Linked DNA regions of Cricetulus griseus. The protein of the gene in region 1 purifies or fractionates together with the protein of each later gene. This does not show direct contact. Links are inferred from orthologs where the notes say so. Each region holds a gene or a part of one and is shown in the gene's direction. Other genes may lie near its edges.

Region 1 (3,500 bases):
TTTATGTAATACTTTCGTTCAGAATATAATTTAAAATATTGTTTTTTGTAATATTGGTATTCATGTTCACATACTTGGGATTCTCTTGATTTCAAAGGTGCTGGCTGATGGGTTCCTGATGATTGGGATCGATGGCTCAGAAGCAGCAGATGGATCTGACTGGTTCTGTTATCATGCAACCTCTCCTTCTATTTTCCCTGTGGGTTTCTGTGAAATTAACATGATAGAACTGACTCCACCCAGAGGTATTCCATCCCGGTATAAACACTCAGTTCTTAGTCTTGCTTTGTTTTTGTATGATATCTGCTTACTTTTAGCACAGTGTGTATATTTATACACAGTATGTGTGGGTATGTATAGATAGACTGAAACATGCAAGAGCTATGAGATGCTCTTAAATTGGGCATGGTGGTACATGCTTGAAATCCCAGCACTTGGGAGCAAAGACAGGAGGATCACCCACAAGTTGGAGACCTGCCTTCTGCTCTAATAGTGAGTCCAGGGCAGCTAAGGCTACACAACAAAAACCCTGACTCGTGGTTAATACATTAATTAAAGTAAAAACACAAACATTGTATTCTAGATCATTTTAATGGATTACAGTGGAAGTTTTTCCTGAATCTTTTATTATTTTTTATGTATGGATGTTTTGCCTGTATGTATGTCTGTGTACCACTTGTGTGCTGTGTACCTTCGGAGGCAAGAATAGGGCATCAGATCCCTTGGAAATAAAGTTGCAGACAGTTAGGAGCTATAGGTGCTGGGAACTGAGCCTAGTCTTCTGGAAGAGCAGCCACTGGTCTTACCTACTCAGCCATTTCTTTGCTCCTACGTGAGCACTTTTTAAATGGATACTTGGCCTTCATGGAAATGAAGCTCCTCTCTCGAATGCCATGTAGCTTCTATTTTTGTTTTGTTGAGATGTATTCTTAGCTGATCTGGAACTCACTATATAGACAATGGGCATTCTCCTGCCTCTGCCTCCAGAGTTCTGAGATTAAAGGCATGTATGAGCAAACCTAGCTTTATACCTTTTAAAAGAAAGTATGTCTTGCCTGGTCTCCAGAACAAGTGACAGGATAGGCTCCAAAGCTACACAGAGAACCCCTGTCTCAAAAAAAAAAAAAAAGTATGTCTTTAGCAACTCATGGTTTCACCAGTGACTTTTATTTTGGTTTTTTGTTTGGTTTTTGGTTTTTCGAAACAGGGTTTCTCTGTAACTTTGGAACTTGTCCTAGAAGTCACTTTGTATTTGTAGACCAGGCTGGCCTGGAATTCACAGAGATCCTCCTGTCTCTGCCTCCCAAGTGCTGGGATTAAAGGCGTGCCCCACTACTGCCCGGCTCACCAGTGAATTTTCTAATTTGAGTACCTTTGGCTTGGGTTTTTCTCAAAGTGGTATTAAAGAAAAGGAAGGATTTGTCAAAAGTATTTGCTCAGCCAGTTTAATTTCCTTCACAAAAAGAAAAATAATCCAGAGTATGAAGTGCTAGACTGTTAGTTTTAAAGCCTAGTATTGCAGGGAGGAGTTGTAGCTCTTGGTGGTAGGAGCACCTTGCCCAGGATGCTGAGGCCCTGGATTAGATATACAATGCCACCAAGGGAAAGAAAAAAGCATAAGTCTATCCTTGTAGTAAACAAGTCACTTCTGCACTAGGCTAAGGAGGCAAACCTGTGTCTGCAAAGGAGGACGTCTTCATAATATGGAGCCAGTATGCTCAGTAATGTTAGAACATGAGTTAGAAGTTCTTACCACCAAGTAAAGTGTGTATTCCTTCAATCCCAAACTTGGATATGGAGAAGAAAGGAGAATGAGGTTACCTTCTATTACTACATAGCATGTTTGAAGCTAGCCTGAGCTATTTTGGACCCCAATCTCAAAAATAAAAATACAATTTTTTTAAAAACAGAATAGGCGTGTTGTGTCACACGCCTTTAACCCCAGCACTAAGGAGGTAGAGGCAGGTGGATCTCTGTGAGTTCCAGGCCAGCCTGGTCTACAGAGTTAAGTACTAGGACAGGCTCCAAAGCTTCACAGAAAAACCCTGTCATCAAAAAGAAAAAGAAAAAAACAGTAGAAAGAAATTACATCACCTAAAATCTAAGATTTCATGTGCTGAGTTATTTAAGATTGTGCTAATTTTAAATGAACTGTTAACTAAACCAGTTGTATTTTTTAGGTTACACAAAACTTCCTTTTAAATGGTTTGACTACCTCAGGGAAACCGGCTCCATTGCAGCACCAGTAAAACTATTTAATAAGGTAAATTTGAATGGTGGCATGATCATAACATAAGAATGGAAGTTAGTCGCCAGGCAGTGGTGGCACGCGCCTTTAATCCCAGCACTCGGGAGGCAGAGGCAGGCGGATCTTTGTGAGTTCAAGACCAGCCTGGTCTGCAAGAGCTAATTCCAGGGCAGCCTCCCAAGTTATACAGAGAAACCCTCTCTCGAAAAAAAAAAAAAAAAAAAAAAAAAAAAAAAAAACAAGAGGGGAAGTTTCTCTTGAGCCAAAATTTTTTGCCATATGTTAGAATTTCTTAATGAAGATTAGCAAAAACAATATATGTATTTTCTTTAGGGAAAGAAGAATGTTTATAAATTTTTTTATTAGTATAAGGGAGGTTCTTTGTGCCAAGACTCATGCATAGAGCTCAAAGGACAAATTTTTGGAGTCAAGTCTCTCTTTCACCTTTACATGGATTCTGGGGTCAAATTCAAGTCTCCAGGCTTGTACTTTTGCACACTGAACCATTTTTGTCAACCCTAAACTATTTGATCTTTAACCAGAGTGGAATGAAAGTGAATACTTTTCCTGACTAGTTCTTAAATACCTCCCTATTGCAATATGGTGACTTAGCAAAAGAATTGCTGTGAAGGTTTTTTGGGAAAAGATTTTAGATGTATCATTTGCTGTTCTGGTGATAGCCGACTCTACTCTCCTGAGCATCAGTGTTAATAATTTGTTTCTCTGTGTCAGGATGTTCCAAATCACGGGTTTCGTGTAGGAATGAAATTAGAAGCTGTAGATCTCATGGAGCCACGTTTAATATGTGTAGCCACAGTTACTCGAATTATTCATCGTCTCTTGAGGATACATTTTGATGGATGGGAAGAAGAGTATGATCAATGGGTAGACTGTGAGTCCCCTGACCTCTATCCTGTAGGGTGGTGTCAATTAACTGGATATCAACTACAGCCTCCAGCATCACAGTGTAAGTTGCTAATACAGAAAACATGTACTTTTATAAAAACCAGCTAATTCTTCAGAGGGCTGTCTCATGTAAATCAACTTGTAAGCTCACAGGACAAGAATATATCAATGTTTGATGAGCTGACAGGTAAGATACTAAGACTCAACAATATCACAGAATTAAACGAGGTATGCCATGGTCAGTTATAATAGAGAAAACCAGAAATCACCAAGTAAACTACACCATTATCAAATTGAACATTGCAGTATAAAAATATATCATTCATAAGTGTTGTTGAGTAAATAG
Region 2 (4,043 bases), on another chromosome or scaffold:
GCTTGAGTTCCATCCCTGCAACCCATGTACAGGTGGAGAGAGGGAGAGCCCACTCCACAGGTTGTCATCTGATTTCCACAAAGTCTTCATGGCATGTGCACCTGCAACCACCCACACAATAATTTTTCTTATTTAAAGAGTTAAACATTAAGTACTGTAAATATGAAAGATTTAGATCATTATGGTCTCCAAGCAGCTAAGTGATGTACACAGGGATTGTCGACCTGCTAACTGCACGTCTAAGTGACTGGCATCAGGACAGGACCGTGTGTACGTACAGTCCTACTTTTTCTTTTTTAAGCCCGGCATTTGTAATTGATTACATGAACCATCTGTGGCTGCTTGTGAATCATGTTACAGTTACCCCACTGACATTTACCCAACATTTTTCATGTGGCAAAATGTTTAGTGTCGGAAAGCTGACACATAATAGCTTTGATGATTCAATAAATCAACTTTAGACACCAGGCTATAGGCGCATCCCCATTGATGTGGAGTCTCTCTCGGCAAAATTATGGCTGATGATTTCATTATAATAACGCTTCATCCTGAGCTTCCTGTGTGTAGACAAAATTATTTGTTATCACCAAGGTAACTTGACCCCCACGGTTGTTACGAGACAGGATGGGAGGGTGAGGGGGGCGGTCAAAAGAGGTGAGGACCGGAGCGGAGGAAGATGAAAAACAACCTCCGGCGGGGGTAAGAGACGGTCTCTCAGGGAAGTGCTTCAGCAAGTGCGGGCCGAGCCGAGCTCCTCTCACTGGAGGCCTTCGCGCCACCTGTCACAAAGGAGGGGCCCGCGGGGAACCGAGGTCTGCGGGGAGGGGGGGGGGACGGCCAGGCCGACCGGAGGACGCTGCGAGGCCCAGGCTGGACCGGGAGGCGAGCTCACGTGGTCTCCCGCACACCGCGGGAGGACGCCCGCGCGCCCGTCCCCAGCCTCTCAGCCCCGCCCTCCAGGCACGTGACCCCGCGTCCGCTCTCGCGCTCGCCCGCGCTCCCTCCTCGGTGGCGCAGGGCTCTGTGTCTGCCCTCCCGCCGCGGCGCCCTTCCCCTCCCGGTCCCGTCCCGCCGCCTCCCCCACTCTTCCCCCTCCCCACCCCTCGCGCGCCAATCACGGCTCGAGCTCGCGAGCGCCCGCCCCACCACCCTGCTTCGCGCCCTCCCATTGGCCGGAGCCTCAAGGACGCGTCCCGAAGGCGGGCGGCGACCATTGGTGGGCCGAGCCAGCCGAGTTCCCGGATGAGGGAACATTCTGCGGTATAAAGGGCGCGAGGAAGGCGGGAGACGGCGCAGTTTGAATCGCGGTACGACGGAGGAGTGGGCGCCGGGATCTCGCTGTGCGTCCGCCTGGCCTCGTCTCTTGCTCGCTTGTGCGATCTTCAGCACGGTCCGAGATGGTAACGTGAGAGTGACGGCGGGCCGCCGGGCGGGGGGCGGCGGCGGCCGCGAGCTGCGGGCTTGGAGCGGGCGGGGCCGCCGTCGCCGGGGCTTGGGCGAGGCGGCGGCGGCGGGCGGGAGCGTGCGGAGACGGGTCGGGGACGAGCGGAGGGAGGTGTTTGGTTGAGCTCGGAGCTCCGGGAGGGAGGCGACGGTTGGAGGGGGGCGCGCGCGGCGCAGCTGGGAGCCGGCGCGGGGCGCGCGCGGGGCGCGCGGCGGGGGTCGGCGGGCGGGCGGGGAGAGAGGGCGGGGGCGAGCGGCGGCCCGGAGACCCCGGCGGGCCGCGAGCGCGCGCCCGCCGCCCGCCCGCCCGCCTGCTCGCTCGCCCGCCTCCGGGACGCGCGGCCGTGGGGGAGGGGCGCGCCGCTCCGCGCCGCCTTGGTAATTCTATCCTCTCCGTCCCTCCCGGGCTCGCGGGCGTCGGCGGCGCCGCAGGCTGGCGGTAAGGCTGGAAAGGACTCCGGAAAGGCCAAGACAAAGGCGGTTTCCCGCTCGCAGAGAGCCGGCTTGCAGGTAGGCAGCTGCTGCCGCAGACGCAGCCCGGGTGACCCGGCCTTTATCTTTGCACCCCCTGGCTTGTTTGTCGGCGCCTCGCATGGGTGTTCCATCTTTTGCGTGGGTGATGTGTCGCGACTTGGCCTTCGGAGACTGAATGTTGGGGCGGCGGGGGCTGGTGGGGGGGGCGTCGATCGCGTGTGCTAACTGCCCGGGCGCCTTGGTGCACCACCGTCCTTGGCTTTGGCGCGCGCGCGCATCATCTTTCCATCTCTGAATCTCCTCTATCTTTGTGCATTTTTGTTTGTGTGCATAAAAAAAAATCAAGTTCCCTGTGGGCCGTATTCATCGACACCTGAAATCTAGGACAACCAGCCACGGCCGTGTGGGCGCGACCGCCGCTGTGTATAGCGCAGCCATCCTGGAGTACCTCACCGCAGAGGTAAGCGGGAGTGAGTATGCCTGTGATCTGGAAAAGGTTTGGGGGGCGGGGGGGGGAAAGTGGGCGAGAGGGAAGGAGGAAAGTGATGCAAGAAAACTCCCAGGCCCTAAGCGCGGCGCTTAGGCAGAGAGAGGGCGCTAGAGGGAGCTAGTGTTCAGCCAAGGATCCCGCTGAGCCAGAGTTTGCTGCTGTTGCAAAAGCAATTGCGTGCCCCTTCAGTCCTTTGCATCATTTGCATAGTTTTGTCATTCAGGTAGTGGGGGGATGACGACAGTTGGTGGGTTAAACACCACTGACGTTTAGCCAGCTTCCTGGATCTTGACTGAAGGGAATTGGAAAATTGATCAGAATTTTGCCTTTTAGGTACTAGAATTGGCAGGAAATGCATCAAAAGACTTAAAGGTAAAGCGTATTACCCCTCGTCACTTGCAACTTGCTATTCGCGGGGATGAAGAATTGGACTCTCTGATCAAGGCTACAATTGCTGGTGGTGGTATGTTATCACTGACACTCGGTTACTTTCCAATAAGAAAATTCCTACATTTTCATTGCTTCCAGAAGAGGGCATTTAAATATATTTTATAAATCATGGTGGTTTATGGAATTTGGTTTACACAACATCATTCATCATTTTACTTTATGTTTGAATTTTTTTTTAAGACCTTTCAAGTTGTAGATTTACCTGCTTTGATTTCATGTACTGTTTCAAAATGTTTCTACAAAAAGTAGAATTAATCCTTGTCACTTTCCTAGGTGTCATCCCACACATCCACAAATCTCTGATTGGAAAGAAAGGACAACAGAAGACTGTCTAAGGATGCCTGGATTCCTTATTATCTCAGGACTCTAAATATTCTTAACAGCTGTCCAGTGTCGGTGATTCCAGTGGACTGTATCTCTGTGAAAAACACAATTTTGCCTTTTTGTAATTCTATTTGAGCAAGTTGGAGGCTTAATTAGCCTTCCAGCCAACCAAATTTCTGCATTCGAGTCTTAACCATATTTAAGTGTTACTGTGGCTTCAAAGAAGCTATTGATTCTGAAGTAGTGGGTTTTGATTGAGTTGACTGTTTTTAAAAAACTGTTTGGATTTTAATTGTGATGCAGAAGTTATAGTAACAAACATTTGGTTTTGTACAGACATTATTTCCACTCTGGTGGATAAGCTCAATAAAGGTCATATCCCAAACTAGTTTTAAACTTGCTTGATGATTACTACTAGATCTCATTCAGCTCCCCTACCTTCTTTGCTTACTAATCAAACACTTCATCTGTAGACCAACAAGTCATAACCAATTTGTCATAATGAACTAGGCATGCTGTTGGACATTCACAGTAACTGTGAAAGGCACTGTATCACAATTTGGGACAGCTGGACCGGTAGAGACCCCCAGGTATAACATAATAACCTCCACAGAATGAACTTAAGATGTAGAAGTTAAATCATTCTCAGTGACCAGACACTGTTGTCAACTGTGAAATGCTAGTCACAGGGGATGCGTGCTATTTTCATAGACTAGGGTAACATGATGAAAACATTGATACATATCAGGCATGTTCCTTAAGAGCTTGAGAAAACGCATCTGCCCCTTTCACCCTACCGAGACAACATGCGTGCTCCTTTCTGAGGCAAAAATTGGTAACAGGAGGTGGTATGCATGCAACC
Region 3 (4,261 bases), on another chromosome or scaffold:
CAACCATACTACCTTCAAAGGGAAAGTTGGAGACAAAGGGGAAACAGAGAAGGGAAAAGGGTAGGGAGAAAAATAGAAAATAAGTGGGTGGCAATGAAGATAGTTGTGCTTTATCAAAAAATAGGAGAAATTAGTTTTTACAGTTAGATTTTAGCAAACCATCTACCCTTTTCTGAGCGAGGTAGGGATTTTGTCAATAATTACAAAATGGTAAAATTGTTGCACTTTGTGGGAATTTTCTGAGAAACCTGTAATGGTTAAAGACAAAGAAAACTAGGCAACAAAGAGGTTTGTGTCAACAGTAGCTGTATCTAATTGAGTCAATTTGATTCTTCCTTTGGCAGAGATACTGCTCTACTGCTTCTGGCCAAAACTATGTCGCCTTTCTCTGACAGGTCACAGCAACTGCCCGTAGATGTCATTTGGTGATTAACTTTGCATTACTCTCTCGTGTCATCTTGTATCGTTTTCTTCAAGTAGCCAAGCATTTGTCTATATGTTTTTGGACTATAATCTTTTCAGATGCTCTTTTCTTCAAGTATTTACGACTCTTACTGCTAATTATTCAACAGTTGTAAAGCCGTAACATGCAAGTTAATTGATTCAGGAACTTTATTAAACTCTTCGAGTTGCCACAGCAACCAGTATTTTTTTTTTTAACATACGTATTTGCTTGGGCAAAATATTTCAAATCGAACCTTTAAGAACTGGCTTTTTTTTTTTTTTTTAAGTCAAGAGAACTACCTACCATCCACTAAATAACTAGGGAAGTTTGGATGACAGGTGCAAGTCCGCTTGTTGCGCCCAGCAGTCTCAAACTAGGAGCCCTCACGGCTACCACAAGCATCCTGCCGGTGCAGGCGGTGCAGGCGGGAGTGCCTCACGTTGGGGCGCTCTTTCGGACCGGGGCTGCCCGATTTTTCAGGGCGCGAGACGCAGCAGGGCTGTGACTCTCGGCGTGGGCAGACGCCACGGACTTTGCGTACCTCCCCGGGATGCGCAAACCCGGGGCGCGAACCAGGCAACAGGCGCTCCGGAGATCAGAGCTTTCTAAGCGCAGGCTCGAGTGGCGACCGGTCGCCCGGGTGGCCGACCTCCTGCCCCCTGGGGCGGGCGGTCCTGAGCGCCGCGCCTCCCCGAGGGAGCCCTGCGCGCGGAACGACTCGGCGGCGGAGGCAGAGGCAGAGGCAGAGGCAGAGGAGGCGTCTGCTCTGGCGCCCGGGCGAGCGCACCTGGCACCTGCTGCCCCGCCGGCGTCCCGCCGAGCGCCCGGCACACAGGCACCCGGGCACCCGGACTTAGCTCGCTGTCGCCGGCTGGCTAGCCGCGCCGAGCCGCGCCGCGCCGCGCCGCGGAGCGGAGAGAGTGGGTGGGCAGGCAGGGGAGGGGAAGGGAGAGGAAGGAGGGAGGGAGGGAGGGAGAGGGCGACGCGCGTCCCCGCGGCGGGGGCGCGCTCTCGCGCGGGCTGCCGGGATCGCTCGCCGCCGCTGTGGTAATGTCCGCCATGTTGGCCATGGCGCAGGGAGCGGATCGGGCGGGCGAGCGGCGGATCTAGAGTGTGGAAGCGGCCGCGGGCGGCGGGGGGCTGTTTTTGGGCGGGGTGGGCGCCCATGCGGGGCCGGGGGCAGTGCGGAGGAGGAGGAGGGGCGGGCCGGCCGCGCTGCACTGAGGAAGGAGGTGGAGGAGGCGGCGGGAGTGCTCCCCCCCTCCCCGCCCGCCCCGCCGCCGCCGCCCGGGCTGTTCCTGTAAGGCGGGGAGACAATGAGTAAACTCTCCTTCCGAGCGCGGGCGCTGGACGCCGCCAAACCGCTGCCCATCTACCGCGGCAAGGACATGCCTGATCTCAACGACTGCGTCTCCATCAACCGGGCCGTGCCCCAGATGCCCACCGGGATGGAGAAGGAGGAGGAATCGGTAGGGACTCGAGTGTTTATTACCCCCCCTTCCCTCCTCCCCCCTCCCCTTTGTCAGCCGGGCCTCGCCATTCACAGAGCGCTCTACGCTCGCTGGAGGGCGCCGCTGCCGCTGCGCGCTCGGGACCCTACGCCGGCGGAGTAGCGTAAACCTGTCGGCCGGCGCAGCGCCCGCCCGCGGCCGCCATGTTGTTGCGTCCCAGTGTTGTGATTAGCTCTCGGCGCCGCTTACGCTGCCGTAAGGGGGCCTTGCCGTAAGCAGCGGCCGGGAATGGCGCAGGGATGCGCCGGGCCGCACTTGGCGTACGGCCTCTGTTTACCTTGTAATAGACGTTTCCCCGGCGCGGGCTTGATTAATTGAGCGGTGTTGCGGGGTGGGGGTGGAGGTCCTTTGGCTAGGCGATCTTTTCGTGACACTTTAAGATCCTTGCGTGCATTCGAGTGCCTTTGAGATGATGCAGGAAAAGTAAAACTCAACAAACACCTTCGTGCTAGCTGGGTGATGGTTTGAGTTAGCAGGGTGACGGTGTGCGCTGCCCGCCCGAGGAGGTGCGGCGGGACGAGGCGGTGCAGCCCTGCTCCGGGGCAGCGACTCCCGAGCGGGACCCCGCGTTAGCGAGCCCCCTGCACCGCGCGCGGATTTAGCCTGCCGGGCTGGCCCTGCTCGGTTGCACGGCGTTAGGAAGAAGCCCGAGTGCTAGGAACCAGGCCCGCGCTTCCCAGCGCACCGTCCCGGGGAGGTAGCATGCGAGATGGCCATTTCCAAGTTGAAAGACTCAGTGCGTCCACATTGACATTAGTATTTTTGACCGCATAGTAACATTTTGGCAAAAATGCTATTTCCCTCTCTCCAGGGGTTAAATTTTACCTAAGACTGAATTTCCCCCGACTTGACGGTGTTTACGACTCTGGAGTGTTGTTACTTGCATGCGAAGTTCATAGTAACTGCACCCTGAAGAATTTCTTCAATGAACCTTCAGTCCCGCCTTATTGTCAACCTCGGGTGTGTGTGGATTGGTTCCCGTGCTTCTGTGACTGTCAAAAGAAAGCTGGAGGTTTCTGCGATTGGTTTTCTCTTTTGACTATTAATAGTGCAGGAAATGCATTTAAGCCTTTGATTGGCTGCTTGAATTCTGACCTCATTGTGTTGGTGCTTTGACTTAATCACATTCTCTTTGGTGTTTGATTACCTGATTTAACATTTTCAGTAGAAGATAAAATCGGGCCTCTTTTTAAACCTTCAATTAAAAAAAAAAAAAGCCTAGCTTTTATGCCTAAGATTTAGTGCTTAGTCGTGTTTGAGAAATTGGCTTACATAGTCATTGACTCAATTTTGAACTACCTTCTGACAGTGTCTTGATAAGGTAATTTAGAAGTTGTCTGCTTTTGGTAGCATGGTGTTGTCTTTGCTGGACACATCTTTCTCTTAACCATTTCTTTTGGACGTGTGTTTTTACATTGCTTTCTTCTCTTCCTTATGTTTGTTGAGGTTTAACAGTTGTCATCCTGTGTTTCAGTCCCAGTAGTGTTCCTCATGGTGCTTGGTCTAAAACTCTGTAATTTATTTTTACTGTAAACCCCAAAAAAGAACTTATTAGTTATTTGGCTATTTCTTCATGAATATTGTATAGTAGTAGTTATTGTTTTTAATATTGCTGTTTGTGGAATATTTAGATCCCAGATACCGTGTCAAGAATTCTAGGTATATTTAATATAAAATTTTTTTAAAAATTTACTTTTCTGAGACATAAATTCAGGAAGATTTACCCGTTTACAATAAAGATTTAATGAGGTTTCACAAATGTATACAACCAAGAATAAGAAACATTTCCAACTTCAGAAAATGTTCTTGTCCTCTGTAGCTAATCCCTGGACTGTAATTCCAGGAGACCATCTACTTGCTTTCACTATAGATTGGCATTGCATTTGGAAGTTTTGTGTCAATGGAGGATAAGTATGTGTGTATGGCTTCTTTTGCTCAGCATGATACTATTAATTATTGTCTCTTGTTTTATACACCATGTATTCCTTTTACTGCTGAATAATATTATAGTTAACATATACTCCATATGTACTTGTTACTAGACATTTGAGTTTTCCCTAGTTTATGATTATCTCTTAATCTTAGTGATGACAGCCTTGTGAGTCACTACAGTTTTCTGTTTTATAGATAACCTAAAAGGTCTCACTGATGGTAATGGTCAGGAATTCAAACCCTTGCTCTTGATGTTGAAAAGTTTACTGCTATAATCCCCATTCTTTCATATTTAGGATTGTTATAGAACCCAGAATTATCATGGTATTATATTTATTAGGATTTTTGTAAATAATTTATTTTTATAATTCTG

What was found. The genes of interacting proteins can lie anywhere in the genome.
Region 2: the proteins of Mbtd1 (region 1) and histone H2A.Z purify together in Homo sapiens (affinity purification with mass spectrometry; 3 studies listed by BioGRID and IntAct, with this or other methods). This does not show direct contact. The link is inferred for Cricetulus griseus from reciprocal best matches to the Homo sapiens genes MBTD1 and H2AZ1.
Region 3: the proteins of Mbtd1 (region 1) and Epc2 purify together in Homo sapiens (affinity purification with mass spectrometry; 3 studies listed by BioGRID and IntAct, with this or other methods). This does not show direct contact. The link is inferred for Cricetulus griseus from reciprocal best matches to the Homo sapiens genes MBTD1 and EPC2.

What each region holds. Positions count from the first base shown.
Region 1 is NC_048600.1:106,843,275-106,846,774, forward strand, and holds part of Mbtd1 (MBT domain-containing protein 1), read left to right. Parts: intron 1-97; coding exon 98-245; intron 246-2,180; coding exon 2,181-2,263; intron 2,264-2,980; coding exon 2,981-3,215; intron 3,216-3,500. UniProt on the Homo sapiens protein: Chromatin reader component of the NuA4 histone acetyltransferase complex, a multiprotein complex involved in transcriptional activation of select genes principally by acetylation of nucleosomal histones H4 and H2A.
Region 2 is NW_023276806.1:21,775,367-21,779,409, reverse strand, and holds histone H2A.Z, read left to right. Parts: upstream 1-1,243; 5' UTR 1,244-1,397; coding exon 1,398-1,400; intron 1,401-1,875; coding exon 1,876-1,953; intron 1,954-2,263; coding exon 2,264-2,377; intron 2,378-2,740; coding exon 2,741-2,870; intron 2,871-3,130; coding exon 3,131-3,192; 3' UTR 3,193-3,570; downstream 3,571-4,043. UniProt on the Homo sapiens protein: Variant histone H2A which replaces conventional H2A in a subset of nucleosomes. Nucleosomes wrap and compact DNA into chromatin, limiting DNA accessibility to the cellular machineries which require DNA as a template.
Region 3 is NC_048599.1:124,849,023-124,853,283, reverse strand, and holds the start of Epc2 (enhancer of polycomb homolog 2), read left to right. Parts: upstream 1-1,461; 5' UTR 1,462-1,761; coding exon 1,762-1,914; intron 1,915-4,261. UniProt on the Homo sapiens protein: May play a role in transcription or DNA repair.